Linked DNA regions of Tamandua tetradactyla. The protein of the gene in region 3 purifies or fractionates together with the protein of the main gene of each other region. This does not show direct contact. Links are inferred from orthologs where the notes say so. Each region holds a gene or a part of one and is shown on either strand. Other genes may lie near its edges.

Region 1 (8,385 bases), on a different chromosome or scaffold from region 3:
CACAATGTGACTGTGTGATTGTGAAAACCTTGTGTCTGATGCTTTTATCTACCTTGTCAACAGACGAGTAGAACATATGGAATAAAAATAAATAATTAGGGAAACTAATATTAAAATAAATTTAGTTTGAAATGCTAGTGATCAATGAAAGGGAGGGGTAAGGGGTATGTATGTATAATATACATGTAAAAAAAATGTATAAATTTTTTTTTTCTGTTTTCGTTTTATTTCTTTTTCTGAACAGATGCTAATGTTCCAAGAAATAATCATGATGATGAATATGCAACTATGTGATGATATTGTGAATTACTGATTATATATGTAGAACCGAATGATCAAAAATTAAAATTAAAAAAAAAGAAAGACAAGACCTAAATAAAAAAATAATAAAGACTCCGAAATGTACTTAATGCAGACCTTTGTGTTTCAGAGTCACAGGTGGTTCCCTCCTCCAGAGTGAAGGCTTCTGTGTGCCCACCTGGGGACATGCCTCCAGGAGGCACACTGTACACCCCAGGTGCTGGGAGCAGCCCCCACACCCAACAGGCTGAGAAAGGCATGTGGTCCAGTTACTTGCCCCGGTGGGACACGCAGGCCTACCTGCCCTGCAAACCAGGCTCCCACAGCTCTGCTTCCTGGGGGAAAGAGAGGCGCTTAGGCTTTGTTTCTCTTTCAGCATCTTCTAATTCCAACTCTTAAATTCTGAATTAAATTTTGAGATTTTTAAAAATCATTCCTCCCTTGTAACACTGTCACAATCGACTATACAAACTCTAGAAACACAAGTGTTCAAATTAATGACACTGTAATAAATTAAAAAAACAAAATGAAAAAACTCATGACATCGTACAGTTCATCCAAATTTTTCTCCACTCATCTTTTACTTCAAAATTCTAAGTCCTTTTAACTGTAATGAAAACAATACAAACTACAAAAGTGAAAACATTTCACTAGAAATATTAGAATGGCTATTATTACTAATTTAGTTCTACTAAGTTTACTAACTGAACTGTCTGGCTTTTTTATAGTTGTTTACAATCATTTTTTAATAAAAGCTCAAGTATTTTGGAATATTTGTCAAATGAATTCTTTCCAAATATACCTATACTATCCTAAGCTAATATGGAAAAACTCTCCCCATTTACGAGGAAAGTTTTATTTCTACACAAAAGTAGAATTTTCCTTCCATTAGTCTGGGAAGCGGCTCAGTCTCCTCACACACAAACCCCTTCTCCTTCCTCCTGGCTTTCCTCCGGCTTCCCGCGGGGAAGGTCACCAAGGGTCAGGCCGAGCCCACCCCGCGGGGGAGTCACGAGGCTAGGCCGAGCCCACCAAGCGGGGAAGGTCACCAAGGGTCAGGCCGAGCCCACCGCCGCGAAAGTCTCTTCGTCTTTACCGGGTCGAGGTCACGCGGCCTTCCGGCCCGGAGCCGCGACACAAGCCGGGAAAGTACCCCCAAATGAGTGGACGGGGACCCCGCCCGAGCCTGGGGCGGAGGCGGGACTTGTATTCAGAGCTGCCGGCGACGCACTTCCTCCTGCTTCTCCGAGGCGGGAAGGGGCTCGGGACCTCAAACCCTCGGGGGCCGCTCCGTGGACTCCCCGCCTCTGAAGGGCACCGGCCCTGAGCCCCCCCCCCCCCCCGGCTCCCCGAGGACCCGCTTACTCTGAGGCCCCGGCTCCCTAAGAATCGCCTACTCTGAGGCCCCGGCTCCCCGAGGACCCTGGCCCTGAGACCCCTCAGTTCCCTGAGGACCCTCTTACTCTGAGGCCCCGGCTCTCCGAGAACCCCAGCTCTGAGGCCCCAAGGCTCTCTGAGGACCCCCGGCTCTGAGGACCCCAGCCCTGAGATCCCTGACAACAACCCCCAAATCCCTGGGCCCCCGGTTCTGACACCTCCTGACTCTCTGAGACCCCGGCCGCCAGGACGCGCACGGCCAGACCGCCGTTGGGACCGGCCCTGGGGCCCCCCTCCCCGTCCGACCTTCGCGGGCCCCGCCACTCCTCACCTTCGGGGACGGCGCTCCGGGGATGGCCGCGTCGCCGTCGCCCAGCCGCGGGGAGAGCACCGTCCCGGGGACCGCCGCCGCCGCCGCCGCCATCAGCCCGAGCCCCAGCCCCCCGCGCCGCCGCCGCCGCCGCCGCCGCCTAGTCCTGGCCGCGGCCGCCGCCGCCGCGCGGAGAGGCCGCCGCGGCGTCCGCTCCCCGGGCCCCGCCCCCTCCGCCCGCCCGCCGCCGCCTCCCGGAGGCCGGCCTCTGCCGCCGCCCCGGGCCGCCCCGCCGCCGCGCGCCCCGCGGCTCGGCGCGGCCACCGACACGGCCATGGTCGCCGCCAGCGCTGCGGCCGCCGCGGCCGCCGCGGCCGGCGCGGAGGAGCGGAGGGCAGCGCAGAGGCGCGGCGCGGCGCCGGAGCGGAATGGAGAGCGCGCAGCTCGGCCCCCTCCTCACGTCAGCCCTCTCCTCCCACCGCTCCTCTCCGCGCCCGCAGCCCGCGCCGCGCCCCGCCCCCGCCCCCGCCCCGCTCGCTCGCCTGGCTCCCACCTCTCCGCGCCGCCCACTCCGCGGGGTCTCCTCCGCCTCCAGCAGACCCCGGCTACCGATCGACCCCCCGGCCTCCTACAGACTCCTAGCTCCCCAAAGACCCCGGGCCTCCCAAAGACCCCCCCGGCCTCCCAAAGACCCCCTCGGTCTCCAGCAGAGCGCCGACCTCCAAAAGACCCTCCGGCTTCCCAAAGACCTCCCGGCCTGCCAAAGACGCCCGCCCCCGGCCCCAAAAGACCCCAGGTTTCCGGCAGAATCCCGGCCTCGCGGAGACCCCTCGGTCGGCCCCGAACCCCTCCCCGTGTCCTCGCCGCTGCACTCACCGCCTCCCGCGCCCCAGGCAGCCTCCCGCCCCCGGGGCCTTCTGCGCTCACGCTCGGGGGTTCTGGCGCCTGCCCCTTCTGGAGCGCCCCCGAGTCTGGGCTCTGCCGCCCCCCACGCGCTTTTCCAGGCGTGCGCCGGGTTCCGCCGCGGCGCGGGAATGGCCCTCGCCCGGGTCTTCGGCCCTGCCTTTGTTCTCCACTCGCGTCCTCATCGCCGCCAAGCTCCACGTGCACGTCGGACCACAGAATCACATCCCACTGAATGTGTGCTTTCCGATTCAGTCTTTACCTTCCTTTCATCAAAAAGTCTTTCCACATGGAACCCAAGGCAAGTCAAAAACCGTAAAATGTCAAAGTAGCTGAAATTCCACTGCTTGCACATGCTTTTGTGTGTTCACAGATGTGGTGTGCACCGCCGCCGCGGCCGTGTTAGCGAACGCGGGAGGAGGGCCCGGAGCTGCCAGGAGAACGCCCGCGGGGTCCGGGGACCCGGAGCTGAGGGGAGGAAGCCGCACAGGGCCAGTGGACCCGTAGCTGCCGGGAAAACGCCCACGGGGTCCGGGGATCGGGAGTTGCAGTGGAACGCCGCACCCGGCCCTGGGACACAGCTGCGGGGAGAACTCCTTACAGGGTCCTGTCACCACGTTGTGCTCCAGGAGCCTCGATCCATGCTGGCCTTCACGTTGGCGCTGCCTCCTGCTTGGGACCGGGCATTTAGGCCAAATTTGCTGATTTGTAAAATAGGGGCAATACAATCGGGTTTGTGAAGTGCACAGAGGAAGCGCCAAGAAAATGGCAGCTGTTGTATTTGAATTTAGTGTTAATCCAACTTCTCAGGGTTCACTAGGTCGCTTCTTTTATATGTTATACTATACAATAAAAAAGTTAATATTCAGTTATTTAGTTGTACTCTTCTTCCTTGGCTAGTCTATCTCTAGATGAAATGCAAATTTAAAACATCTCATTCCAAGTCAGCAGATAGTGATCTGGCCTTCGGTGTTCAAGGTAGACAGGGTTAAGAAGGCACCGTATGGTGACAGGCCCTGACCATGTGCTGCCTCAACACTAAAAGAATATGAGGCAATTGTTGTTAAAGGCCACTCAGGTGGGAGAAAATTTAATTGCAATTAGAAGAATTAAGATTTAAAAGTCAAGATAGAATTTTTAAAGTATCAAGAAATAGGTAAGACTTCAACTCAATAGTAATATGTTCAGTTGGAAGTGAAAATGAGGGTTCTAAACCCAGAAAAAGTTGAGAGATCAGCAAATATGAGGCATACTCAAGGTACCATCAGTTATTCTAGTTTGGCTAGAGAATAGAGTAAATGAAGGAGGGTTCTAGGAATTTGAGATGAAATATACAAAGAGGCATTACGATGTAATGGAGAAAATAAGCAATTTAGAGTTAAGACTGGTTTAAATCCCGGCTATTTGTTGTGTGATCATAGGTAAATTACCTAATGCCTCTGACCCGCCATTTCCTCATTTTTCAGATAAGAATAATAACACCCATTCAGTTATTCCACAAATATTTTATGGCACACTATGAACTGGGTTGGGTGATGGGATGTAAGGAAACAATTATTCATTAATACATCAAATACTTCCTTATTGTTCACTAAGTTAGGCCCTGAGTTATACACTGACAATACAGTGGTGAAGAAGAAAAACAGCCATAAAACTCCAGAAGACCACATAGAGAGAATATGTAAATTGAGGTTTGAAGAAGATCCAAGCCAAAGGAGGCCAGAGATCCTTGTGGAAGTTAAATAGAGAAGGAGGAGGAAGAAAACAGAGTGTGGGGTCTTGGAAGCAAAGAAGATAAATACTTCAGAAAGTGGAGCTGGTCAGCTATGTGTATCATCTGAGAAGTTGAATAAGATGAGGACAGAGAAATGTCCAGTGATTTGATCAACTTGAGGTCATTAGCAATCTTGACATGAGTTGTTTGAGTAGCGAGGTGGTGACAGAAGCTGGGCTGAAATCGACTGGAGAATGAATGGGAGGCTAGAAATTGGAGCCAGAATACAGGTAATTCTTCTGTAAAGTTTTATTGTCAAGAGCCATAGAGAAAGGGTTAGCTGGAGAGGTGTTGTTTTTTGTGTTTTTTAAGATGGGAGAAAATTCATAGCTGACAAGAATGACTCAACATAAAGGGGAAAGTCTTGGTGCAAGAGAGAAGAGATAGTTTACAGAAGGCAACTCTTGAGAAGGCAAGAAGGAATAGGATCATCCAGAACACAAGTGCTGGGACAAGCCTTTGATAGGAGAAGCACTAGTCATCCATTCTGTTACTGGAAGGAAGACAGAGAATGTTGCTGCAGATGCAAGTAGGTTCATAGGGTGGTGGAACCTCTGATAGCTTCCCTTATCTTAATGAGCTGAGGCTTCAACTGAAAGTGAGTAGTGGAGAGGCATATAGGAGATTTGAGGAGAGAGATCATGCAAAAGAGTGTCTCAGAGAGTGGGAAAGCAAATTTTCTAGGATGCCAGGCAGTGTGGCTTGACCCTTTGATGTTTGTGGTCATGGGATTTAAAGTGAAATCCCTCAGCCTGGTTGAGATATTCTCAGCCAACTTTAGCTGCTTGGATGTAGGCTTGGAAAAAGATAAAATGGCATATATCTAGGAATAGATTTCCCTTATTGAGGAAGGACAAAAGAATTTGGAGTGTGTGTATAAGGAAGTGATTATAAATATGGGCCATGGAATCTAAGCTGAAAAAGGACAAACAAACAAAAAGGATATTAAACAGTGAAATAGGCCAATGAATTGGGCATGTCAATGAGAATGAAGGTGGTGAGCTGGAAGGACAAGAGATAATTGTGTGACAATAACATACTTAAAATTAAGATTGTAGAGGTCATATTAATATCAGTGATAAAAACGTCTAGCATGTAAACCAAGAAATAGATGACCAAAGGGGAGTGAAGAAAAAGGTCACTGAAGGTGAGTCGGTCAAGGAATCGAAGCTAGGAAATCCTAGCTTTGCATGCTAGTCCAGGACTATAAAAATGGCCATGTAAATTGATACAGTGCCAAGAGAATATTGATCATCGAGGAAAATTGTTCTGTGGCCTTAAAAATTTACTGTCAAAACCTTAAAAATGCTCTGCTGATTATAAAGGTATAGGGAATGAAAAAATAAACTAATATTTAGTATACTGCAATCTGAAATATTAGAAACAGAATTGTTTTATTTCTTTATTTAAAAAACTGATCAAGAGTAGTTCAAACTGTGCTTGCCTTCTTCTCAATCTGTAACTTATGATATGATGAGTATCTTTTCTATGCCTTGACAAACTATCATACTCCTTTCTAAATTTGGATAAGCTTCCAACGTTTTATCCTTTGCATTCTCAGTGTCATGAAATATCTCGAAGGGTTCTTTGATGTGAAGTTTTCTTTTCTTTTTTTCTTTCTTTCTTTCTTTTCTTTTTTTAACCAGCAGCACTTCCTCTGAGACAACCACCTGCTTTAAATAATCTGTGGAATCTGGGGAGACATATCCAGCAACATCCTTATCCACATAGCAGCTTTACCAGAGGGCTTAAAATTAAACAATTCATCTCAACTTCTGATACAATGAAATCAGTCTTTATTGGCAGTAAAAGAAATTCAGTCTCTTTGCAATTACCATTTTCTTCCAATGTTTCAACTAAATTCAACACTTTGGCCTGAATGCTAGCCAAACTGATTGGGGGTTTTTGTTGTTTTTATTACATTCTTCAATCCACAGTAGAAGAAATGCTCCATTTTTAATAATAAATGGCTTTCTTTTCCTAGAGAAATTTAAACCAGAAGTTGTTGAAGCAGCTTATCTTATTTTATATTTATAGATTTGTAGGACTTTTTCTGTATTATTCCTATAATAATTTCATGCAGGCCTAGGTCTTGTCCTGTCTTAGCTTTGCTTCAGTCATTTTCAACTCTCTTAATAACATAAAATTTCAAAGTTTTTCAAGGTCAAAAGAGTTGCCTACCTGCCTTCTGGTTTTAAGGCATGAGGAACTACAGCGTTCACTCGGGAAGGCTGCATTGGGACCCTTCATAACAATCAGGTTGTTGCTAAGGAAAGAAACTCAGAATACAAGAGAGGCTGGGCATCTAGAGGAGTTTGCTGAACCACATAAAGAAGGTTCCATAAGCCACCATAAAAAGCTCAGAGAAGGGCAGGCCACGGTAGCTCAGCAGGCAAGAACGCTTGCCTGCCATGCCAGAGGACCCGGGCTTAGAGAAGCAGAGTCTGATCACAGGGTGTTTGGATTTGTGATAGTGGCTGAAGAAAACATTTATGTGGCATTTGCTATTATTGATCGTCATGGTTCTTAGAGGACAGCAGAAAATCAGTTCTGAAGTTATGGACCAGAATATTTAGTTTGACAGTAAGGTGTCTTCAGGGTGTATGCACCCCTTTTATATAGGCTGATAGTGAGGTGGAGCAGGGAAAGGGTTCTAGGACAGCAGGTACAGCCATAATAGCCTTTGTAGGGGAAGGAAAGGTGGGAAGAGGTGATACTGGGCCTGTCCTCTTCAGTGGGTATCTGGGGGGCAGGAGGGGAGGACATAGTTATACAAATTTTCGTGAGATAATATTTGAGTACAGAGGAGAGTATATAACCCAACATGGAGCAGAAGTGAGGTTAGAGGCAGGGGTGGTAGTGAGAATTGTTGCTATGATTAGGGATGTGTATGATATCTATTAAGATCCATTAAGCCTCAGAAAATGGTATTTATTATTATATTATGTAGAATTTGGAACCTTAAGTGTAGGCAGAAAAATCTGTATTTAATCCAAAAGGCAACCAAGAACTAGAAGGGCAGAGAGTGTCATAACTCAAGTTATGCTCCCAAGATGATACTCCATCAGTTTTTTGTTTGTTTGTTTTCAATTAAAAGTTTTTTTAATTTATTTATTAATAAAAAATTAACAAACCAAATAAAACATTAACATATATAATTAGTAATTCACAATATCATCATTTAGTTGCATATTCATCATTTCTTAGAACATTTGCATTAATTCAGAAAAAGAAATAAAAAGACAATAGAAAAAGAAATAAAATGAAAATAGAAAAGAAAAAAAAAGATTATACCTACCATACCCCTTACCCCTTGCTTTCACTGATCACTAGCATTTCAAACTAAATTTATTTTAGCATTTGTTCCCCTATTATTTATTTTTATTCCATATGTTCTACTCGTTTGTTGACAAGGTAGATAGGTAGATAAAAGGAGCATCAGACACAAGGTTTTCACAATCACACAGTCACATTGTAACAAAAGCTATATCATTATTCAATCATCTTCAAGAAACATGGCTACTAGAACACAGCTCTACATTTTCAGGCGGTTCCCTCCAGCCTCTCCATTACATCTTGAATAACACGGTGATATCCATTTAATGCATAAGAATAACCTCCAGGATAACCTCTCGACTCTGTTTGGAATCTCTCAGCCATTGACACTTTGTCTCCTTTCACTCTTCCCCCTTTTGGTCAAGAAGGTTTTCTCAATTCCTTG
Region 2 (7,972 bases), on a different chromosome or scaffold from region 3:
TCTGCTCCCAGGGGAAATCTGTGCTTAATTCATTATAGACTAAATTGTTATTTCTTAGCAAAGCCTACATTGGCATTCATGTGTATTTAAGAAATGCCCCTTTCAATTGGGGAAAAAAAAAAGATTACTTCTTCAATGGGTTTTTTTTTGTTTGTTTTTTAAGTATTGTAAATCTTTATTTCAATCATTCTAGGCAGGCAACAGCAGTGACTGCAAGGTAGTGTGGAACATCGACAGTGCCCATTACAGAGGGAAATCTTAGCCACGCTTTCATTCATTCATTAAAAAAATACTGCATCAAAAAAACACCCCTATAGCTAAATGGTCTAAAGAAAGTTCAGTTCTGACACAGGTAGGCTAGTAACTTCAATTCTAAAGTTTCTCCAGAACAAGTCTCAAACAAAGTCTTACTGAACCTAGATACATTAATAAACTTTTTTGGGATGGGGAGAGGGTGAGAAAAGACAAGAATTTCATGAAATCAGACTTCGATATCCTTTAGCCATGCTCTTAATATCAATACCCATCTCCATTATTCTAGGCAAATTATAATTAATACAACCAATACTGGTCTCTGGGCTAGAAGTAAAAAATTCAAATTCCACTCTTGGCATACTTTTACTTCTTTGGGAGATGAGAGGAGTGATAATTACTTAACCACTTGAAGACTGTTTTCTTATCCTTCAGATGAGTGAATATTTCAATTTTTTTTTATTTCACAAGAACGTTATTAGAAAAAGACTGTAAAAATATACAAAATAGCTCAAAGACAAAACTAGATAATCATTTATACCCAAGCCTAACAATAAGTTTATCTAATCTTTGCATGATATAATTAAAACAAGATTTCTGTGAGACAAAGAAATAAAAGTCTGCATCTCAGATCAGAAATTTAAATCTAGATTGGGTTCACATTAACAATAAGTGGTTGCCTGAAGGCAAAAGCAAGGGACTTAGAGGTCTGTTTTCCTTCTTAACTGTGTGAACCTCACCTGTGGCTGTAGCACCACCTTGAGTGGTACTGAAAGTCTTTGTCCTGGGCTTTGTCCTGGTCCCATTATCTGTGCCTGCTGTACAGAGGACAGAGTCATTGGCTGGGTTGAAGGTGTCTGCTGGGGCTGTGGTTGCGATGATGGAGGCTGTGGTACAATCTGGATTTTTTGCTGTGGCTGCTGCACCTGCAGCTGGATAGTTACTACTTTGGCAGGCTGCCCCTGGGCATTCTTGGCTTGAGTCAGGGCTGCCAGCTGATTGCCCTGTAATACGATCTTGCCTGGGAGACTCCCTAACACGACATGCCGGTGTCCTTGGGGACCTCCAGACTGTGGCTGCTGGAGGACCAGGGTGATGCGTTTGGATTCACCCTAGAATAAAGAAAGGAAATTCCAAGAAAGGTACAATATTAGAAAGAATAGTACACCTATAACAATTTACCAGTCTTTCTCTCCTAAAATCACAAAAATCCTGGATCAGACGACATAATACAATTCATTTTGTTCATCCTCCTACGTAATCCTGATACAATCTTTTCTATTAAAACATATCTGCTCAGTGAATAGCAAGCCTATTTTTTTAAAAACTTCTTATGTTTTTGAAATGAAATGCCATTCATTTTTAGAAATCTATTAGAATAAAACTCCTTATAATGATGAAATCTGGCCTTCTTGTAGATTTCCACTGGTCTCAGTACTGCTTAATTTCCTTTAGCCCTTTATTGAGAGGATGGAGCATCTACTTTCTTATAATAGAGCTAGTCTTTTCACTGGACAGAGCAGAAGGGAGACAATTTTAGTAGTAAGAACAAGAGAAAGAGATACATAGCTTCCATAAGTCTTGCAATATAAATATATTCTTCAAAAATGATTCTTTGTTCCCATAGCATCCTGTATTTCTTATATCATAAAACTTTATATCATACATTATTGTCAATTCTTGGTTAATGTCTGTCTTCCCCAGCAGACTGTGAGCTCTGTTAGGACAGGGACTGTGTCTGTCTTATTTGGCACCAGCTAGGCACGGTATAAACATGTAGTATAAATATGTAGTATATGTATAGTATAAACATGTAGTATATGGATATGGTATAAACACATAGTAAGAGCTCAAAAAATATGTCAACACTAACTGTCCCCACCTAGCAAGTAATAAGCATGTGACTGTCAACACTAACTGATAATATGTGCTCTCTCTCACAGTTGCCTGGCTTTTACTAAACCAAAAGTTACCTCCCCCTTTCACTCAAGTCACCTGGGTAGGTGTAGAGGTCAGTGTAACTGCAGGCTTCAGAGGGGGCCCTGTGGCCCCAGGGTTTCCAGCAGGAGCTGAACCCTTAACTGGTTGTAGGACCAGCTGCTTTACTGGTCGGCTGGGCTGGACAATGCGCTGCACAGTAGCCTGGTTCCCAGGGACCTTGGCGGCCAACACTGTATTACCAGAGACAATGGAAACACCTGGTCGAAGGGGAGTGCCGGTTAGCACTTTGGTAAAAGTGACTTTTCCACCATTGGCTGTGCCAGCCACCAAGGGCTGAGCTGTGCTGGTGATACCTTGGGCCTGAATTTGTGCCACATGGGCACCAGTGACTGAGGAGCTTGGAGGGGCCTTAAGGATAACAATCTTAGGGGCTGACTGAGGTGGTTGTCCTCCAGCACTACTGGAGGAGACAGCTGATGAGACAGCTGTGGCAGAGACACCCATGAAAGGATTCCCTTGGCTCAGTATCTCCTGGCTCTTGGAGACCTGCAAAAGTCCCGATGTTGGCGTTGATGTCTGTAAGACAGGTTGTACTGGCTGCTCTTGGCTGGCGGGCTGAGTGGTATAATCATGCAATGTTAAGGATTCTGGAGCTGGAGCTGTTGATTCTTTGGGAAGTTCTGTGGGTACTGTTTCCTCTGATGGTGGGACCAGGTCACTTGCTGAAGAATTCCCCACATCACCACCTCCACCATCCTGGTTCATCTGATCCAAGGAGTCCAGGGAGCTTGGCAGTCCAAGGGCTTCCTCAATGGGATCTTGTGTGACCTGGGTGAAGCTGTCATCAGTCAGAGAGTCCAGGCCAAATAAATTCGGGTCATCAAACAGATCCATGATGGGGTCTGCCATCTTGGGAAAGCAATGGAATATTCCCCAAGGTCTAAGGAGGGAAGGGGAGGGGGGGTAATGGCTCTCCCCTCCCCTCCCCTATTAAGAAAAAAATGTACACAGTGGAAGAGGACTACTCTTCAGGTAAAGAGGCAACAAACAAGTGCATGTCAGATTGTCCTGACCTTCATGGAGCAAGAGATGGCTAGGTCTTCAGAGGAAGATGATGAAATTCCTGTTGTGGGAATACAAATCAAAGATAAACAAAGTTGGTGACCTCAGAGAAAATTTCTTCTTCTTAGGTATTAACCTTATTAGCAAACAGCATCAAAATAATAAAACAAGAGATGAGGCAAATGTGAGAATCTGAGGATAGAGGCACAACGGAAAGAACACCCACATTTCTGTTTCAAAAAGAAAACTAAAAAAGAAAAGTCAAACTAACCCCGTTTGGGGGCTGTTAAACACCTACACTTTTTTTTGTTTTTTGGATACATGGGTTGGGACTAAAACCTGGGTCTCCCCCATGGCAGGCGAGCATTATACCACTGAACCAACTGTGCAACTTATACCTACATACTTTTAAACTCCTGGGTGCCAAGAGTATTCAACTGCCTCTGTCCATTCCTTTAAAAATTATAATTCTTAGGCAGAGATCAGTAAATTTAATCTTCATTCACCTTTTATTTTCCGTTTCTGAGTTGGCAAAACTGAAAACCATATATCACCAGGATTTCAGTGAATGTGGATAAGGATTTCTACATTCTTATCTATATTCTTATAAAAGGATATTTTATATTCTATCTTATAAATTTTTCTTATATTTCAGATAACATTGCTTCCTACTGGCAAAAATAACCACCTTCAACAAATCTCATAGTACAATCTTACCAAGCTTATACTATGATTTTACCGAGGGACTTTTTCAGACTTTATTCTAACTAACATATCAATTAATCTATATATAGCATTTCTGCTGTAAAGTCCCCTTTCTCTAAGAAATCTTTCTACTTGAGATCAAAAACTTCCTCTGTAAAGAATTCAAGGCTTTCTACACTTTGGTTCCAATTTAAATTCCCAATTTTTTTCTCTCACCATTTCCCATAATATACATCCTAAATTCCAGTCCCATTAGACCATATAGTTTCCTGAATGTGATTACTATCTCTGTGACTTTGCCTATTATACTGTAGCTTATGCCTGGGAACTCCCACTCCTTTGTACCCCTAACATCTCTCGCAGCTGAAATCCTACCCACCTCTCAAAGGCCTTCTTTCCATAAAGTAAGCCCTGGTCTCTGACCCTTTAACAACTAAGCAATTTGTGATGATGTGATCCCTTCACCTCCTTAGATACCCAAAGCACTGTATACACCTTATTTAAGGCACTCAGATTTAATATTTTACTAAAATGACTTGCATTCTTGTCTATATTCTATTAAGGTCCAAATGATTCCTTTGCACAAATTTTTTAAAATTGCCTGCTCTTGAAAATGCTTTTCTGCCACCTGCTGGAAAACTGTCATACTGAACATATAAATTGATGATTATGAATGTGTGCAATGCATTCCTGCACAATCCTGCATGGTAGCCTGACAGCCTTGTTCTTCTTTTCCCATGAGAAAGGGAACTCTTGGATGGTAGGGATCATGACTTTTTTATCGATGGCTCTCTAAGCAACCAGTAGGGTATGACACACACAGAAACTACCAAAAGAATATTCAATGAATTAAAATATTTGCTTGCAGTATCTGTGAGAGTATTCAGTCCTCAGAGAAACTAAGTAATATTTCTTGATTTTAAGATGAGACAGTAGAAAGCTTCCTATCTTTCCTACATCCCAGGGATGATCCTAGCCCTGGCACTGTGGGATCAACAATGCCATTCTGACAAAAAGAGGGTGTAAAAAATAAGGTATCAGTGGCTGAGAGAGTACAAATAGAGTCAAGAGGCTACACTGGATGTCACTCTTACTCATGCTTCAGTTAGATAATGCTACCTATCATAACTTGCCAAACCCCAACCAAAACCATTCCTGCCAATCCTAAAGAATACCTAGGGCATTATATAAGATTCTACAAAGGTTCCATGCACAAGGGTAACTCTCCAAAACCTACAACCTCCAGATGGGTCCTTGGACCAGGTAAGTCCTGAAATGCAGAGGGGTCAGCCTCTCCAGAACATCAACTAGTTCCATCCCCCATCCCATATTACAGACAGCCCCTTCCAACATGAAAAAGTTAAAATGGGCAAAGCCCAAATACCCCTAAAGAATGGGATAGAAAGATCAAAGATCAAATGATGGTGGAGTTATACAGAGAAGGCCGTATATAACAAATGATTATGACTGCTGAATCATATTTCTTTTAGCCTCCAGTACCTTAGAGCAGCTAGAAATTAAAAACCCAAAATTGTGGAATTGTAACCTATACCAAACTCTGAAATCTGTTCTACAACTAACTGTTGCAATGTACTTTGAAATTTACTGCTTTATGCATATATATTATTTAAAGGGAAGGATGAATATAACAGAGAAGATGGGATTTAACAAAGGAGTAGAACTGCTGAATTATTATATTGATATTTCTGTCTCTAGTGTCTTGGAGTAGCTAGAAGAAAAAATGAAAAATCATGAAATTATAACCATACCAACCTTTAAAATCTGTTCTGTAACTACTTGTTAAAATGTACTTGGAAATTATTGCTTTTTTGTATGTATGTTCTATGCTACAATAAAAAAAAATACTATCCTACAAATGGCTGAACGTGTAGTTACTAAATCCATGTCTAGGATTTTAAGTTCATGAAATTATCGGAAAAGGAAAAATTACCTAAGACAAGGAATTGTAAATATATAACCACATAATTAAAATACACGAAAAAGCAATATTTAGTCTTTGTGTATGATGTCAATGTTTGACAATCCAGCAGACCACTTCTCTTAGTTTTTAGAAGGCACCAGACAAGAAATTTGCCAGCAGGACAGTACAGACTTCACTGGAAGACTTTTCCAAATGACTGACAAGCTCTATTTTTTCCATCTTCAACCTATTCCAGTTATCCTTATAAAACAATATAATGTGGGATAATATTCCAGAAACTCTGAAGTTGTCAGAAAGAATAGACTCATCAGTAGTTGGTGCACTGATTAAAATTACAAAATTAATATGGCATCTCCACCAATGTTAAATAAGATCGTCTTTGCTTCAGTAACTGTATATCCTTCAACTCTCACCTGGGACCTATATCACTTCTGGCTAAACTCTTCTACCAGCTTATTCCAGCCTCTATTAAATGATACTTGCCCTAAATTTACTCAGAATGGAGATCCGAGAAGGTATAGACGTATTTTGATTTAATGAAAACCCACTAGATAATGTTACAAATTTTCTCAAGTCAACATTATCAACTTTTTCCAGTTATGTTCTACTTTGCCACCTATTATCTTTCATCTCCTATTCACTCTCAGCTGTCACAAAAATATACAAAGACAGTCCCCACTAACAAGACTGTTTATATTGGTATAGTTTATAATGTGTCATTTTTTTTCCCATGGAGTACTTTGTCCTTTCTACAATTCCTACTATTTATTATACTTAACGTACTCCTTCCTTCCATAATAGCCCAACCTAGGCAGAGACATCATTTTTTTTTATTAAAAAAAAATTAACTAACACAACATTTAGAAATCATTCCATGAGACATCATTTTTTAATAGGATAAATTCTCAGTTTCTGAGAATTTTTTTCAGACGCTTTTATAAATCAATGCATTACCATTTCTCTCTCCCTTCCTAATTCTGAACCAAACCTTTACTTCTCCTAGTTCAGTCTAGGGCTCAAACATTCAAAAACTTCTATACCAATTTAATGCCACATCACCAAATATCATTACTTCTCAGTCCCACCCCATTAAGTCACCTCTACTGACCCAAATCGTCTCATTTTATATATTTTTTTATTCTAGCCGTCTATATCTTTAAGCTGTTATTGAGTCTCACTAGATGAAACCTCCCCAACATATCTCCAATTTTCTTTACCCTCCTTCCATTCCTACTTGTGGGTCATCCCAACTGTATCTACATCTAGCCTATTCTACCAAGTTCACGTGTTCCATGATATATGAAGCACTTATCTATCCCCGAGTAAAGAAACTGCTGGGATAAAGAAGTCATACAGGCTTTTATTATATGGAGAATGAGAAGCTGGACTTGGCCTACCACTGCCCCAAAGAGAAACAGGTGTTCAAAAGGAAAGCTACAGTTTAGTAGTTGTACTTTAGTCACTGTCCATAACTGCAAACCATAATGACCAGACTCATGATGAAAATTTTGGGAATGGGGGGGAAATGGAAAAAAACAGTCAAACTTAAAATTCAAGGCCACTTATCTATAAACTCCAACTAACCAGTCAGAGAAATTCTCTCTATATAGGCCAATAATAGCCCTTCATCCCATCTCCTTCTTAAATGGTAACTAACTACTCCTAATCTTTTACAAAGAGAGCCCCTCAACCTAAGTATAAACCAACATTTTTTACAACTTTATAACCTCTAATGTAACTCTTCTTGGATTTTTGGAGATCTAGAGTCCCAACTCTCCTGTTCTTGTTTTACATTTCACCTCATCCTTGCTCATTTCTACAACTACTTGCCTGACCCAACATAAAAAAATTTGTTCTAATTCTACTCCATAATTTTCTGTTCTCCAGACCTCTCAACAAAGCAGTTATTCTCAGTTGGATGATGGAGGGTATTCTTTAGGTCTTATGGGAACTGGGCATGGGGATAAATGTGTAGTTGGAAAATATGTGTTCAACATTATAATTTCATATTTAGAAAAATGGAAAAGAAAAACATTTTCATTGTTTAGGTTATTATATTCAGTTAAATTC
Region 3 (7,922 bases):
ATAATCGCCTCTGTAGATATACCTGTAGCATTTGTCCTTCAAAATGCAATATTGTTTATTTTTATATCCCATTTTCTTTCTCCAGCAGCACACACATCAAGACTTTTTAAATCAACATTCACTTATCACCAAATGATTTTTCTGCCTGTTTTAGAATGACTTTTGTGTGGCGGTGTTTATTTTATTAAACAATTTTTATATCTGCCTTGGGATAATACGATTAAAATTTGCCCCTCCCCATCAAACCATGCAATCATTATAGAACTGTTTGCATAAGAGAATAAAAGAAGACAGCAGAGAAGGAAAGTTGTGGGGTTTTTTGTTTTGTTTTTTTTTAGGACAGATAGTGCCCTCTGTTTTAAAAGACCTTTTTGGCCCTCTGAAAAATACGGTCTTGCGGAATATGTCATATGCTTAGAAGTTAGGGCATCTTCATTTGGAAGTACAGGAACAAGCTATAATCATTGGCCAACTTTTTTTTTCTAAGTTTCTGCCTGTTTTATTATTCAGAACGTGTTATTCTCTGTTGGATTCCAAAAAGTAGCGAACCCTGTTCAAGGGATGATATCATCTATTAGGTTGAAAATACATGAAAGTGGGGACAAAATTGTCAGTGAAACAAAGTTTTGAAAATCTCTGTCAGAGGCCATTAGGAAATGGGGCATCTTATCAAAAATCGTGCCCGCCTTGTGGCTAGCATGTACAAAGATCTAGAGGCTGCATAGAAGGAAGATTAAGGCTGAAATTTTGTGTTTTCTCAGGTAAGGCATTTGGAGCATAATTTTTGTTCCCAGTGACAATGCCACCAACACTGGCCATGAGCCTACTTCTTTCTTCTTTTCTTAATGCAATTTTATTGATATCTATTCACATAATCTACAGTCATCCAAAGTGTACAATCAGTGTTTCACAGTATTATCATATGGTTGTACATTCATTACAATTTTCTTCTAACTTTTTAGCTGTATAGTGTAACATATATACAAAGCAAAGAAAGAAAAAAGCAGTAGTTTTCAAAGCACTCTTCAACAAGTAGTCGCAGAACCAATCCCAGAGTTTGTCGTGGGCTACCATATCATCCTCTCAGATTTTTCCTTCTAGTTGCTCCAGAATATAGGAGGTTAGAAGGCATAAATACTTTTTTTCTCATCACATTCGACTTTTTTTGTGTGTGAAAAATAGCATATATACAAAAAAGCAATAAATTTCAAAGCACACCACCACAATTAGTTGCAGAACATATTTCGGAGTTTGGCGTGGGTTACAATTCTACAATTTTAAGTTTTAACTTCTAGCTTCTCTAAGATACTGGAGACTAAAAGAGATATCAATTTAGTGATTCAGCAATCATATTTATTTGTTAAACCCTACCTTCTCTGTATAAGTCTATCATCACCTTTGATCTTTCTATCCCTCTCTTTAGGGGTATTTGGGCTATGGTCATCCTAACTTTTTCATCTTGGAAGGGTCTGTCACTAATATAGGGTAGGAAGATAGAACTATCTGAGGTTCTGGAGACGCTGGGAACTCTAGGTTTCAGGACTTATCTGGAGGCTAAAGGTTTCTGGAAAGTTACTCTAGTGCGTAGCATTACCACAATTTTTGAACATTTTCATTATTCCCCCCAAAATACATGTAAAATAAAATAAAAATAAAAATGATAAAGAACACCCAAAATAATCCCATGCCCCTTACCACCCCCATTATTATTTATTGTCAGTGTTCTTGCCTGCTGAGCCACCGCGGCCCGCCCTATCCTTATTTTTTTTATTCATACAATAAGGAAGGAGTATCAGCCACAAGGTTTTCACAATCATATGGTCACACTGTAAAAATGATATAATTATATAGCCGTGTTCACGAATCAAGGCTAATGGGTTACGTTCCACAGTTACAGTTCTTTCCTTCTAGCTATTCTAATACGATCCCCCTTCTTTCTTTCTCTTCTCCCCTCTTGATGGAACCTTTCTATTTTACTGTCTTTTTCAGAAGCAGAATAGCAAAACAGTAGTTATGAATGAAGATTTTCAGCTTTGTTTCTTATGAGCTGTGCAAGCCACGCGTGCAAGCCATGTAACCTCTCAGTATTCACTTCACCATCTTTAAATTTGAATTCATAATGATGCCTACCTCATGGGGTTATTGTAGGGTGAAATGAGTTATTACATTTAAAGGACTTAGTTCAGGGCCTGGAATACTATAAATACTCCTGATATCTTAACTGCAGATATTAATAAATAACACATAATCAATAACATATTAATTATGTTATACTGTCATTAATAGTAATATTCTTATTTTACTTAGAAAATATTCTAATTGGAGATATATTACTGCTCACCCCAAATGCCAAATCTTTCGGGATTTTAATTTTTGAAGCCTTGGATAAATACAAGCACTAATCAGTATTACATTAATCCAGACTTTCACAACTCACTTAAGCATGCCAAAAAACATCCGAGTCAGTATCACAATACACTATTAGTATTCAGAATTGTCCTGCTTTAAATTATATGATATTCCTGTTACAAAGGACAGAGCAAAGTTGCAACTTTTCTCCCCTCCTCTCAGAAATCCCACAAAGGACACAAGGAGGGTGAGAAGCAGAACCACAAACATCATCTTCAGTGAAAGTAAGAGACACCAGAAACTCCTCAAATAAAAGGAGAAGGAGCCACCCAAATCAGTGAGGGAGCAACAGGCGGAGGGGATTGGGAGGGAGGCTGCCTGTGGCTGCAGGTCTTAGAACAGGCCAGCAGAGGGCGGCGCTGAGAGGTGCGGGCCACACCCGGAGAGGCGGAACAATGCTCCCTTGTTTGCAGTGATGAGACTCCAGTGGGTGGAGAGAGCCTCGGCTCACCGGGCCAGACCCGGGTTCTGGGTATGAACTTGCCTTCCTTGCCTGCAGAACTTGCCAGCAGACTTAGATGATGCCTTCCCTCTCCCCATGTCCCTCCCACATGTGACCGTGGGACATGTGACAGTGAAAGGTTGACCGCGGGCCCTTGTCCACGTATTCCACTGATCTGACCCTGACCGTGTGCCCCGTCACCTAGAAGCAGCTGCCTTGGTGCCAGCAGGGTGTGGCCTGCTGCAGGCTCAGGTACGGGGCCAGCTGGGAAAGAACAGCCTGTGAGGTTGGGATTTCTGGCCGTTGAGATGCAGAATATGCCGTAAACCAGCTGCCAGGAGGCAGGGGTCCAAGAACCAAGGAAAGGAGGGAGGAGTGTCCCCTCCCTCTTCTACCTCTAATTTGCTGGAAGAATTTTTGTTTTCCTGGCCAGTGACCTGGGACTCAGTGGTTCTAGGTCTCCCTGGTGCCTTAGAGAGAATTGCTTAGAGGGGGAAGCATCATGACGGTTCCATGGCACTGGAAGCTGAGGTCGTTTGGGGCTCCACTGAATTAGTAGGCAGAGAAGGGGGTCACTGGACTTGCCTCTGTGGTTGATGTGGTTATGGGGGGGGGGGAACAGGCACTGTTACTGCATGAAGGAAGGAGGGGGTGTCTAGAACCCAGGATTCACTGGGACACCTCTTAGTACTCCTTTGCCAGAAAGATCTGGTTAATGGAAAAGTATAGCATACAGTAAAGTTGCTATACTTTATTGGGGTCATAAAGACATGACCCCAATATCCTATGAGAATCAATTTTTGGTTACGCCACCAAGCAAAGAATCGTGCCCAGCTGAGGGTAAGGGGACATGGAATTAGTGATAGAAGAAGGCAACTCAGACTTGGCAGCCATTAGAAAAGGGGGCCTCTAATAGCTGTGATTTATATTAATGGTTCTTTTCCCTTCCTTTTTCTTCCTACCTAATATAAAGAGAACTGGCAGTGGCTGATGTTTCGGTGTTACGTAATTACTTGCTATATAATCTTTGGCAAGTTATTTAACTTCTCTGTGGTTCAGTTACTCATTTGAAAAACAGGGATGATAAAACTGGATAGCTCATATGTTGTTGTAGAGATTTAATACTTAGAATAGTGCCTGATACAGAGTAAGTTCTCGATATATTTAAGTATTATTTCAGTCATCGTTACTTCTACACTAGATGTCTTTTTGCATTTCATTGTCACTTAGGCAAGGAAGTCCCCAGAAAAATTTCCCAGTTTTTATTATACGGTAGTCTTAAAATTTGGAAGTATAAATTTCAAAAAAAGTCAAAATCAATATATAAGATTTGTTTGCCATAGTAGTTAGTATGTCATAACAGGAAGACATCCAAATGAATGATAGAAACACCAGATTCAGGATAGTTATCATCTCTGGAAAGCAAAGTAAGTTGAAGGACTTCAGCTATGTATTAATTATCTGTTGCTACATAACAAATTACCCCCTGTAGTGGTTTAAAGCTTCTAAATACCCCAGAAAATGTCATATTCTTTATATTTGCATATATATATATGTATTTTTTTAAATTGAGAAATATTCATACACATATATTCCATACATGGTGGACAATCAGTGGCTCACAATATCATCACATAGTTGTATATTCATCACCATGATCATTTTTTAGAACATTTGCATCTCGCCAGGAAAAGAATTAAAAGGAAAAAGAAAAAAGTCATACATACCATACCCCTTACCCCTCCCTCTCACTGAGCACTAGTATTTCCATCTATCCAATTTATTTTAACCTTTGACCCCCCTATTATTTATTTTTTATCCGTATTTATCTGTCTACACCCTGGATAAAAGCATCAGACACAAATTTTTCACAATCACACAGTCACTTTGGAAACATTATATCTTTATACAATCGTCTTCAAGAATCTAGGCTACTGGAACACAGCTCACCAGTTTCGGGTACTTCCCTCCAACCATTTCAACACACCATAAACTAAAGGATTATCTATATAATGTGTAAGAATAACCTCCAGGATGACCTCTCGATTATTTGAAACCTCTCAGCCACTGAAACTTTATCTTGTCTCATTTCTCTCTTCCCCCTTTTGGTCAAGAAGGCTTTCTCAATCCTTTGATGCTGGGTTCTAGCTTGTCCCTGGACTTCTGACCCACATTGCCAGGGAGGTTCACACCCCTGTTGAGTCATATCCCACATAGAAGGGAGGGCAGTGAGTTCACCTGCCGAGTTGGCTTAGAGAGAGAGCCCACATCTGAACAACAAAAGAGGTTCTCTGGGGGTGACTCTTAGGCTTAATTTTAAGTAGTCTTAGCCCATCCTTTGCATGATTAAGTTTCATAGAGGTGAACCCCAAGATTGAGGGTTTGGCCTATAGATTTGGTGGTCCACACTGCTAGCAAGAATATCAGAAATTCTCCAAATTGGGAAGATTGAATATATCCTCCTTTCTCCCTATTCCCCCAAGGGGACATCACAAATACTTCTTTATTCTGCCTAAATTACTCTGTGATATATTGGGACATCACACGAACCAGGACAAACCAAAAAAACTCACACCCTATTCAAGATTCCATGTAGGAAATGGGCTACCCAAAGTATAATTTTTGCACCAAATAAGCATCTCTCCCTTTAGTCTCACAGAGAAGTTGAAGTTTTAAAATATGGATGATAACATCCTTTACCCAGTCTTCTGATATACATTAGTCCAGATCAGCTTCATTCAAATCTCTACACAATCTGATCACTTTTTCATCTTTTTAAACAGTTCTGGTATGGAGTACTGCTGACTTTCGTAGCTTTAGAGTTCTAACTAACAGTCTCAGGTGTCACATAAATACCTGAAGTTCTTGGGAATGACCAGGTTATATACAAACAGCTCAGTATCACAGAATCTAGAACTAACAGTGACCCCTCCTGCATATATGTGACTGCTGTAAGAGCTTACAATCTAGGAGCCTTTACAATAGGCCCCGACCTGATAAACCAAGTTCTTGACTTTAGTTCACCAAGTTTTTATATTATCGTTAGTCCATATGATGGAGGCATGATGATATTTGTCTTTTTGTTCCAGACATTTCATTCAACAGACAGTCCTTAAAGTTCATTCATCTAGTTGCATGCCTAGATGAGTCACAACTTCATTCATTCTTGTAGCCGGTCAGTAGTCTAATGTATGTCTACACCATAGTTCCCCCTTCCATCCCTCAGTCCTTGTAGCCTTAGGCCACCTCCATCCATTGTGGATCCGGAACACTGCCACCATAAACACCAGTGCGCAAATGTCCATTCGTGTCCCCACACTCACTTCCTACAGGTATATACTGAGCAATGGGTTTCAGGGTCATATGGCAACCCCACCCCTAGCCTCCTGTGGCACCACCACACTGCCCTCCAAGGGGCTGCACCTCTCGGTTTCCCTACGAACAGTGAATAGGTACATCTCTTTCTCTGCATTTTCTCTGGCACTTGTTTCTCTCTGTTCATTTTTAAACAGTTTTATTTACACATCATACAATCCACCCTAAGTATATAGTCATGCCTTTGCCACCATAATCTATATGAAGCCATTTCCTTTTCTTCCACAAAGAATCCATACTGCTCCCTGATGCCCCTTGCCTGTTGACATTTAGTTTTGGCAAAATGCCTCTGTTACATTCAATGGAAGCAATTGCAATGTTACTGTTGACTATAGATCCTAGCTTGCATTGATTGTGCTTTTTCCCATATACCATCTATTTTCAACACCCTGCAATAATGACAGTCAGTTGTTCTCCCTCATGCAAAAATGTTTTTTTATTTGTACATTCAATCACCATCATTGTCCATTCTAGGCATTCCTAAATTATACCATCTCAGTCTTTATCCTCTATCTTTCCTTCTTTCATATGTGCCCCCAGCCCTTTTCCCTCTATCATACTTACATTCAGCTTCATTCAGTGTAGTTATATTACTGTGCTACCATCAGATAATATTGTGCTACCCATTTCTGAATTTTTTACAATTAGTCATGTTGCACAATCTTTATTCCTTCAGCACCAATTGCCCAATCTTTATTCTATTTCTATCTTCTGATAACCTGTGTTCTTAACTTCAATTCTCCAAGTTCACTCATTAATGTTTATATGAGTGAGACCACACAATATTTGTCCTTATTTTCTGGTTAATTTCACTCAGCATAATGTCCTCAAGGTCAGTCCATGTTGTTACATGTTGTCATGGTCAGGTTCATGTGTCAACTTGGCCAGGTGGTAGTACCTGTTTGTCTGGTTGGGCAAGTACTGGCCTGTCTGTTGCTATGAGGACATTTCATAGAATTAAATCATGATCACACCGGCTGCATCCACAGCTGATTCCATTTGTAATAAGCCAAGAGGAGTGTCTTCTGCAATGAGTGATGCTCAGTCTAATCACTGGGAGCCTTTTAAGGAGGATTCAGAAGAGACAGGCTCTTCCTGCTTCAGCTGGCGAGCCTCTCCTGTGGAGTTCGTCCAGACCCTCCATTGGAATCGTCAGCTTCACAGCCTGCCCTGCAGATTTTGGACTCTGTGTTCCCACAGTCATGTGAGACACTGTTATAAATTTTATATCTGTGAATGTTCCCTGTTGATTCTGTTTCTCTAGAGAACCCTAGCTAATACACAGGCTTATGACTTTATTCTCTCTTCCAACTGCATAATAGTCCATTGTATGTATATACCACAGATTGTTTAGCCATTCATCTATTGATGGATATTTGTGCCATTTCCATCTCTAGGCAATCATAAAAAATCCTGCTATAAACATTGGTATGCAAATGTCCATTTGGGTATTGCCCTCAGGTCCTCTGAATATATATGTAGTAACGGGATTGTGGATCATATGGCAATTTTATACTTAGCTTCATGAGGAACCACTAAAATGCCTTCCAGAGTGGTTGCACCATTTTATATTCCCACCAACAGTGGATAAGTGAGCATCTTTCTCCATATCCTCTCCAGCACTTGTTGTTTTCTGTTTCTTTTGCTAATGGCCATTGTGATGGGTGTGAGAAGATATCTCATTGTGGTTTTGATT
Region 4 (7,716 bases), on a different chromosome or scaffold from region 3:
CTAAACGCTCTGGTAAGCCTGAGCTGTACTTGGCCATAGTTATACAGTGACAGTTGCAAAGAAAGGTGAGGAAAAGTCAGTCCCGCAAGCAAGGGAAGAAGGCTCTGCACAATAGCGCAGCACAGTGGGGGCGCTGGGGGCACTCCTCCCAAAGTGGGGGTGGGTGGGAAGTCCCTCTTCGGGGACCCCGGAAGAAGGGCGGCTGTAGGGGGTGACACAGCTCAAGAGTGTCGTGGAGACGGACTGTTACTAACCAGGAAATGGTGGAAATCTCAGCGGGGAGGAGTTCGCTAAGGGGGAGTGCATGCCAGGACGTCTATTCTTTGCAGAGGCCCGGAGATATTACATCCTGCACGTTAAGGGATTGGAGAGAAGTTAGGATTGAAGAAGGTAGGGGGATAGAAGCCAGGAGAGACGGGGTTCACGAATTCAGTCCTTTTTACCTATCTTAAACGAGTAATTTTTCTTGCACGTCCAGGAAGGCTTCTTGGAGGAGGTGACGTCTAGGATTCTGCCAAAGGGAGGCGGTGTTCCCGCCTGAAGGCAGGGCTTGGGCAAAGGCCAAGAACCTTGATGGGGGGTTGAGGCGGTTAAAAATTGGAACACTTAAATAAAGGCCTAGGGGTTAAATGCTTTGGCGTCTGAGCCCTACTCTTAACTTGTTAGGGGACCCCAGACAACTCTACCCTCTCTCTGAGCTTCCCACTGCTTCAGTGTTTCCCTTAGGCAAACGGGCAGCGGCTCCCTCAGTCCTCCTGATTTCTCCTGGGGTGGGAAAATCCTCCGAAGACAAGACGAGTGACAGTTCCTTTAAGCCGATCACCGGAGCTCACAATTCTACCCTCCTCCGTCGGGGGCCAATCGCCTTGCTCTCCTTGAGGTCTCTCCAGCCCACAAGAGGCGGCTTAAAGCCTCGTGACGTCACCTTTCGTCCAAACCAATGGCAGCGATCAAGTTGCGGGCAGTCTTGGTGACGGACAGATCTCTTTTAAGATGTCCGCTTAGCGCAGGGCCTGCCGGGAAGCTTTGAGACGGCACTTAATGGGAGGGGGAGGAACTGGGCGGGAACTCCTGGTTGACTCTGCCCAATCACCGCTCGCTCTTCTTGGGATGGACGGACAGTCTTCCCCATCCCGGACGACTTGAGGGGGCGGGGCCTTGCACGCCAACTTGGGAGGGCCCTTCAGCCTTGATAGGCGTCTATTCCACCCAATTGCCAAACGGCATTCCCGGATCGGCCGCCTCCACTGCCAATGAGATCTCCTGACCGAGTTGCTGTGGGCGGGCCGTGGCCCCTCCGGTATAAGGCGATCCCGGGGGAGCGCGGAGAAAGGGGGGGGTCTCGGCGGCCGGAGGAGGAGTAGGTGCGGGCGAAGATGGCGGCAGCCGAGGCCGCGAACTGCATCATGGAGGTGAGCGTCTGGCGCGCCGCCGGGGCCGAGGGAAGCCTGGGGGTCGGTGCCTTATGCCTCGGTCGTGGGGAAGGGACTCCGAGTCGGCGGGTTGGAGCTGGAGGCGCTCAGCGGGACGGGAGGGGGGCGCATGCCCGGGATCCGAGGGCACCGCCTGATGGGGGGGGGGGGCTCCAGAGCTTTCCGGGACCTGCGGCACCGCCGAGTCGAGGGTTTCACCCCCCCATCCCACGTGGATGAGGGCTGGGGGCGCTTCCGGCCGGGCCCCCACGTGGCCGTGGATGGGGAGGGGGTGTGCCGTGCCCGGTGGCCCCGCGGGTTCCACGTGCGGGACAAAGGCCCCGCCCCCGGCCGGGGGAGGGGCGCTCCGGGGGGGTGGAGAGGAGGCTCCGACCCTGCCTTGGGGCCCCCAGCACCCCCTCGCCGGATCCCGGGACCCAAACAGAACCTACCTTAGGGCCTTCCGCGATGTAGGGGATCTCTTGGGTGGGGCCGTGCTACCCGACCCTTCACTTTCCCCCCTCCCCCAGGTCCGGGGGCATCTGCTGGGGCGTCGTTTCAGGTTTTGAGTCCTCTTGCTTGCGGTTGGAGGAAAACGAAGAGTTGGTCCCCCACCGCATTCGCTTCCTGTGCCTGGACTCTACCCCGCCTGGGGCTTTATGAACTGGGGGGGGATGGGGCATGCCCCTGTGACCTCCCCGTGGGTGGGGGTGCGTCTCGATGGAGGAGATCATTCCCGATAAGGCCCCTTGCACCCCCTTGTGGCCATTTCTGGTTGTGGGCGGGATCTCTTTTTCATGGGGCGTGTCTCCAAGTCCACCTCCCCCTTAGTGCTTGCCCGGGCTAGGTGGGGGTCGGGGGGAGTGTGTCTGTTGAGAAGGGGGTCTTTTGAGGATATAGGCTCCGAGCGTTTGCCCTCCACTGGTGCCCTTTCGCTCCTTGGGGCATCTGTGAGGTGGGAGACGACCTGCCTCTTCTCCTAAGCCCCCGTGTGTATGTCTCCAGCCTGGATTCAGGAAGTGATTTCCATGGATACTTGATTCTTGTGTGAACGTGTGGTGCCATGGCCGTGTTTCCAGCCTGCTGGGGCTGTCTGGTGGTGGTGGGATCAGTGGTTTCGGGAAATGGGCCCCAACAGGAAATCCCCACTCCAGCTGCCCTTCTCACAGGTTTCAGAGAGGGCTTAAGATTCGGGGCCCAAGGTATTATGGCCTGTGGCTGTGTCTTTCCTGGAGCCTGCAGGGTGGTCACATGTGGAAGAGATGTTGTCTGATGGTGCTCCCATACCCCCACCTCTCACTGCATATAGCCATCCCTGGAGTGTGGGATCAGGGCCCGAGATGCATGTCCATGGCAAGCAGCGCCCCGGGGGCCACTCATTTCTTTTCCCCATACAACCCAGACCCAGGAGGTAGCCAAGGAGGAGGGGAGGCATATCTCCCCCAGAGCTTGCTTTACCTGGGGGGTGGGGGGTTCAGAACTGAGATGGGTGTCTGAACCGGAGAGAAGGGCTCAGACGCCCCGGGCCCTAGCCTGGAGTCCCCTGAATCTGGCCCTGTCCCCTGGGACACTACCTGCTTGGGGAGAGGCTAAAAAGGGGGGAGGGTTCCTTCCAACTGGTTTTGTTTGGCTCTGTCACAAGTGCCCATGTGCCACACCTCCTTTCTGGAATCCTCTCAGATGAGAGATTGTTTTGCAGAGGGGGCTGTTGCCCAGTGGGCACACCCTGCCAGCATCCCCCCCCCCCCCGCAGCTATTCCTGGTACCTTGGGGTGGGGGTGTGTGTCAGAAGGTGTCACCTAATCTGGGGGATTAGATGCGGGGAGTGACAGCTGGCAGTGCCTGTGTGCCCGGCGGTGCCAGGTCCTTTGGCATGGATGGGGGAGGTGTGTAGGCAGATGTCTGACTAGTGAGGGGCAGTGAAGGGATGGGCTGCCATCTCTCCAGCCACAGCTGGGACAGGAGAACCCCTTTGCTTTCCCCCTACCTCCCCCTCCCATTTCTTAAACAGCCCTCCCTCTTAACTTGTTACTTCTGCCACCTCTCCCCACCAAGGAAAAGGAAAATAGCAAGAACCCCCACTCCACCCGGAGCCCTGGTGCCCAGTCCCCACCCCTGGCCTGGCCCTCCCCCTACCACTCCCATTAGCTAATCCTTTCTCCCTGTTACTCTCTCCTAGAATTTTGTAGCCACCTTGGCTAATGGGATGAGCCTCCAGCCGCCTCTTGAAGAAGTAAATATCCTTTTGTGAGACCCCCTTCCCACCTCCATATAAATACATCCTGCCACACATTAGACCTTTTCCCGTGCTTCTAACCATGATCCCTTTGGCTTCAAACCAGGTTACCCTGTGCCCTCCAAACCCTTAGTACACTTCCCTCCAGGTTGGTGGCCCCCGGCTGGCCTCCTCCCATATTGTGGCTACTTCCTTAACTCCACTTCCAGCCCCCCTTGGCCCTCCCCTGTGTCTGCCCCACTTCTGCCTTCCCCTCCCCTCCCCAGCTGTGGGCTGAGCTAGAGACGGGGGCAGAGAGACGGAGAGATGGTAGGCGTGGCTGAGGTATCCTGGATGGTGCTGGGGGGGGTCTTGGAAGAGAAAAATGGGGGTGCTAGGGTTTGGGGTTCCTGGGGGAGGCAGGATGGCAGGCGGGGGCTCTAGGGTCGCCCTGGTAAGACTGGTGTGAGGGGAGGGGAGCTCTCTACCCTAGGGAGAAATAGGAACCTGGAAGTCGAAGAGGCCGTGGGAGCCCCCAGATTTGACCCATGCTCCCATCCACCTCCTCCCAGGTCTCCTGCGGCCAAGCAGAAAGCAGTGAGAAACCCAACGCTGAGGACATGACATCCAAAGATTACTACTTCGACTCCTACGCGCACTTCGGCATCCACGAGGTGAGCGTGGACAGCTTCTAAGGAGGGTGAATCCCACGCGGGTCAATGCCCGGGAGGGGCGAGGCTTCCTTTCCCACGCATGCGTGCAGTCTTCCCTGTCCCCGTGCCGCTGGTCTGCGCATGCGAGGCCTCGCGGGAACTGGGGGCCTCTCCTGGCGGTTGCCTTGGACACCGAAGTTAGCCCGGAGTGGGGCCGCGTTAGGGAAACTAGGGTGGAAGCGTGGAAGCGCGCATGCGTGCCCAAGACTTCAGCCCAGTTCTGGGCCTGCTGGTCTCTGCCGCCCTCTCGTGACTACTGGTGGGACTGCAACTCCAGCTGCTCATTCCCGTTTGCAGATTGAGGATGTGGAGGTCCCAGAGCACAGCTGGGCTAGTTTGGTGGGGGGACTCTTTTTTTTTTTTTTTACATTAACTGAAGTCATTTTAAAGCCAAAGATGGCTGAGGCTTAGGTGGTCAAATTCAGCTAAAATGAGAGTTTGATCCATTACACCTGGTTTTACGAACAGTGACTGAAATGGACAGAAAGGTCTTATTCCACGGGGACTAACACGTGGGAGGGCTACGGTTGGGCTCTCCAAACCGTCAGCGTGTTGGAGGCCAGGCCACCCCGTTTTGCACACGGGTCCCCTCATGGCGTCTTTGTGCCCCGCCTCCCCCAGGAAATGCTGAAGGACGAGGTGCGCACCCTCACCTACCGTAACTCCATGTTCCACAACCGGCACCTGTTCAAGGACAAGGTGGTGCTGGACGTGGGCTCAGGCACGGGGATCCTCTGCATGTTCGCTGCCAAGGCCGGGGCCCGCAAGGTTATCGGGGTGAGTCGGAGGGCGGGCAGGGGGTTGGGGGGGGCCTGTTGGGGCAGGGGACGAGGGGGGGCCTGGGGGACGGGAGGGCCTGGGGGGGCCGAGGGGGGGTGGGAGGTGGGGGATGGGGGGGCCTCACCCTCCCTTCTTCCTGGACCCCAGATCGAGTGTTCCAGCATCTCTGACTATGCCGTGAAGATTGTCAAAGCCAACAAGTTAGACCACGGTGAGCCCAGGAGGAAAGCGGACTGGTGGGGACGCAGTGGGTGACTCTCAGATTCCCTAGGGCCTCAGCCAGGGGGTGGGGGCCACTGATGGGGCACATGGGCAGCCGTCCCTTCCCTGGGGCCTTCTGGGCTGGCATCGGGCTGAGAACCCGTGACCGCTGGCAGCGGGAGTGTGGTGCCGGCTTTGAGTGGCGAGCTCATTAGCGCTTCAGTCTTAGTGTTAGGGCAAGGAGCAGTCTCTCATCTCCTGACTAAGTCTGAGAGTCGTGCTGAGTGAGGCGTCTCCCGTCTGTCCCTCAGCTACCCTTCTCTGAGTTTATCTATTACCTTCCAGCAAAATCTGAACCCACAAGGAAATATATATGTAAATGTTTGTGGGCAAATGAACATAGTTTTCACACAGATCTCATCTCATTCAGCTTTTACTCTTTATCACTTCGTTTATTGTAGTAAAATATATGTCATGAAAAATGACAATTTAATTTTCTTTTTAAGTGTACCATTCAGCGGCATTGGGCGTAGTCACAGCATTGGGCAGCCATCACCACTATATATTTCCAGAACTTTCCCATCACCCCAAACAACCCTCTGCCCATTAAGCAGTCACTCCCCTTTCACTTCTCCCCTGGACCCTGGTAACCTCTGATTTGCTTTCTGTCTCTATGAATTCGATGGCTTTAGAGATTTCATATATATGGAATCAAGGTGTTGGTCCTTTTGTGTCTGGACTGCCTCCGCAGCCCATCTCACATGTATCTGTACTTCATTCCTTTTTATAGCTGAATAATATTCAGTTGTATGGATGGAAAGCTCCCCATTTGTCCATCTGTTGATGGAACTTGGGTTGCCTCCACCTTTTGGCTACTATGGATAATGCTGCAATGAACAGTGGTGTGCAAATATGTGCCCGAATCCCGGCAGTCACTTCTTTAGGGGTATATACATAGGAGCGGCATTGTTGTGTCATAGGAGATTTCTTGGTCTAATGTTTTTTGGAATTGCCAAACTGTTTCCTGTCTTTTTTTTTTTTGCACCTGTTCATGTCTAGTTTTAACAAGCTTGCGGATGCTGAGAAGTGTCCTTTTGTTTTGTGACTGCCGTTCTGCACACACCTCACCTTTTTTAACCCTGTTCATGGGCGTGTGAGCCACTTCTGAAATTTCTGTCCCCTGAACATCTTGTCATTCCACATTTATTTTAAAATGTGAATTAGTAAGTTGGTAGATGTTGCCAAATTGCTTTTGGTGGCCATTCCACTTGCATTCCCAGTGGCAAGGCTGAGCATGCAGGAAACATTGGAAAGCAGTAGGTTTGCTGAGTGTGAGGGCTTGCAGCATTCTAAGAACCGGAGTGGTTTTCTTTTTTTCTAAAGAGACGAGTGTAGGACCCCATCTCTCAGCTTCATGCTGAAATAAATCCCAGCTGTGACCTCGGCTCACCTGTAAATCCTGTGTATGTCTCTAGTAGATCGGGCCTTTTGAGAAGCATAACCACACCGTGACTCGTTTGTTACATGTTTCCCATAACATATCCCATAATAATATAACCTTACTGTCTGCTGGCCGGTCTGTGGGAAATTTCTGCAACTGCTTCAACAACGTGTAGGACTCAGAGGGACCAGAGTGATGGGTGAATCTCAAGGCACAGTTAGCAAGCTCTGGCTTCAGAGCAAAGGGTTCTTGGACAGTGCCCCAGTCCCGCCCCCATGGTACCTAGGGAGGGGCCTCGGGGGGCTGATGGCCGCCCCCTCCTGCAGTGGTGACCATCATCAAAGGCAAAGTGGAGGAGGTGGAGCTGCCGGTGGAGAAGGTGGACATCGTCATCAGCGAGTGGATGGGCTACTGCCTCTTCTACGAGTCCATGCTCAACACTGTGCTCTATGCCCGCGACAAGTGGCTGGTGAGGGCCCTGCGGCTATGGCGGGCAGCGGACAGTGGACAGAACTGAATGACATTGGCAGGAGGGCGTTAATGCTGGAGGAAAGCAGCAGGCCTGAGGGACGCGGAGGGACTGGGAGGTGGCAGTTTTGGGGCCCAGGGCCGAGCAGGCCTCCCCAGGAGGTGAAGGGCTTGGGGGATGGATGGGAAGGAGCCAGGTGGAGCTGGGGGAAGAGCATTCCAAGTGAAGGAAATACTCAGGGCAAGGGTTCTGGGGCAGGGGTGAGGCTGCACGTTGAGCCCCAAGGAGGCCAGAGTAGAGTGAAGATCTGGAGCCTGGGAGGAGGCGAGGCTGGCGGAAGGGGGGTGTGCAGCTGTGTGAGACTGCCGCTACACACAGAGGAGCCCGGGAAGGTTCTGGAAGGACAGGCTGGGGCTAGGGTGTTCACAGGCACCCTCTGGTGGCTGTGTGGGGATGAGGCCCCGGTGGCTCAGACCAGAGGAGGG

The links.
Region 1: the proteins of KPNA2 (region 3) and PHF10 purify together in Homo sapiens (co-immunoprecipitation; 3 studies listed by BioGRID and IntAct, with this or other methods). This does not show direct contact. The link is inferred for Tamandua tetradactyla from reciprocal best matches to the Homo sapiens genes KPNA2 and PHF10.
Region 2: the proteins of KPNA2 (region 3) and CHD8 purify together in Homo sapiens (affinity purification with mass spectrometry; 4 studies listed by BioGRID and IntAct, with this or other methods). This does not show direct contact. The link is inferred for Tamandua tetradactyla from reciprocal best matches to the Homo sapiens genes KPNA2 and CHD8.
Region 4: the proteins of KPNA2 (region 3) and PRMT1 fractionate together in Homo sapiens (co-fractionation; 3 studies listed by BioGRID, with this or other methods). This does not show direct contact. The link is inferred for Tamandua tetradactyla from reciprocal best matches to the Homo sapiens genes KPNA2 and PRMT1.

What each region holds. Positions count from the first base shown.
Region 1 is NC_135337.1:73,934,740-73,943,124, forward strand, and holds the start of PHF10 (PHD finger protein 10), read right to left. Parts: upstream 3,261-8,385; 5' UTR 3,246-3,260; coding exon 3,153-3,245; intron 2,112-3,152; exon of another isoform or gene 2,102-2,111; coding exon of another isoform or gene 2,009-2,101; intron 50-2,008; exon of another isoform or gene 1-49. UniProt on the Homo sapiens protein: Involved in transcription activity regulation by chromatin remodeling. Belongs to the neural progenitors-specific chromatin remodeling complex (npBAF complex) and is required for the proliferation of neural progenitors.
Region 2 is NC_135340.1:35,006,855-35,014,826, reverse strand, and holds the start of CHD8 (chromodomain-helicase-DNA-binding protein 8), read right to left. Parts: upstream 3,103-7,972; coding exon 2,248-3,102; intron 1,365-2,247; coding exon 993-1,364; intron 1-992. UniProt on the Homo sapiens protein: ATP-dependent chromatin-remodeling factor, it slides nucleosomes along DNA; nucleosome sliding requires ATP. Acts as a transcription repressor by remodeling chromatin structure and recruiting histone H1 to target genes.
Region 3 is NC_135332.1:6,063,723-6,071,644, forward strand, and holds the start of KPNA2 (importin subunit alpha-1), read right to left. Parts: upstream 3,002-7,922; 5' UTR 2,894-3,001; intron 1-2,893.
Region 4 is NC_135342.1:11,469,280-11,476,995, reverse strand, and holds the start of PRMT1 (protein arginine N-methyltransferase 1), read left to right. Parts: upstream 1-4,406; 5' UTR 4,407-4,421; coding exon 4,422-4,652; intron 4,653-4,961; coding exon 4,962-5,117; intron 5,118-5,267; coding exon 5,268-5,331; intron 5,332-7,088; coding exon 7,089-7,231; intron 7,232-7,716. UniProt on the Homo sapiens protein: Arginine methyltransferase that methylates (mono and asymmetric dimethylation) the guanidino nitrogens of arginyl residues present in proteins such as ESR1, histone H2, H3 and H4, FMR1, ILF3, HNRNPA1, HNRNPD, NFATC2IP, SUPT5H, TAF15, EWS, HABP4, SERBP1, RBM15, FOXO1, CHTOP, MAP3K5/ASK1, MICU1 and NPRL2.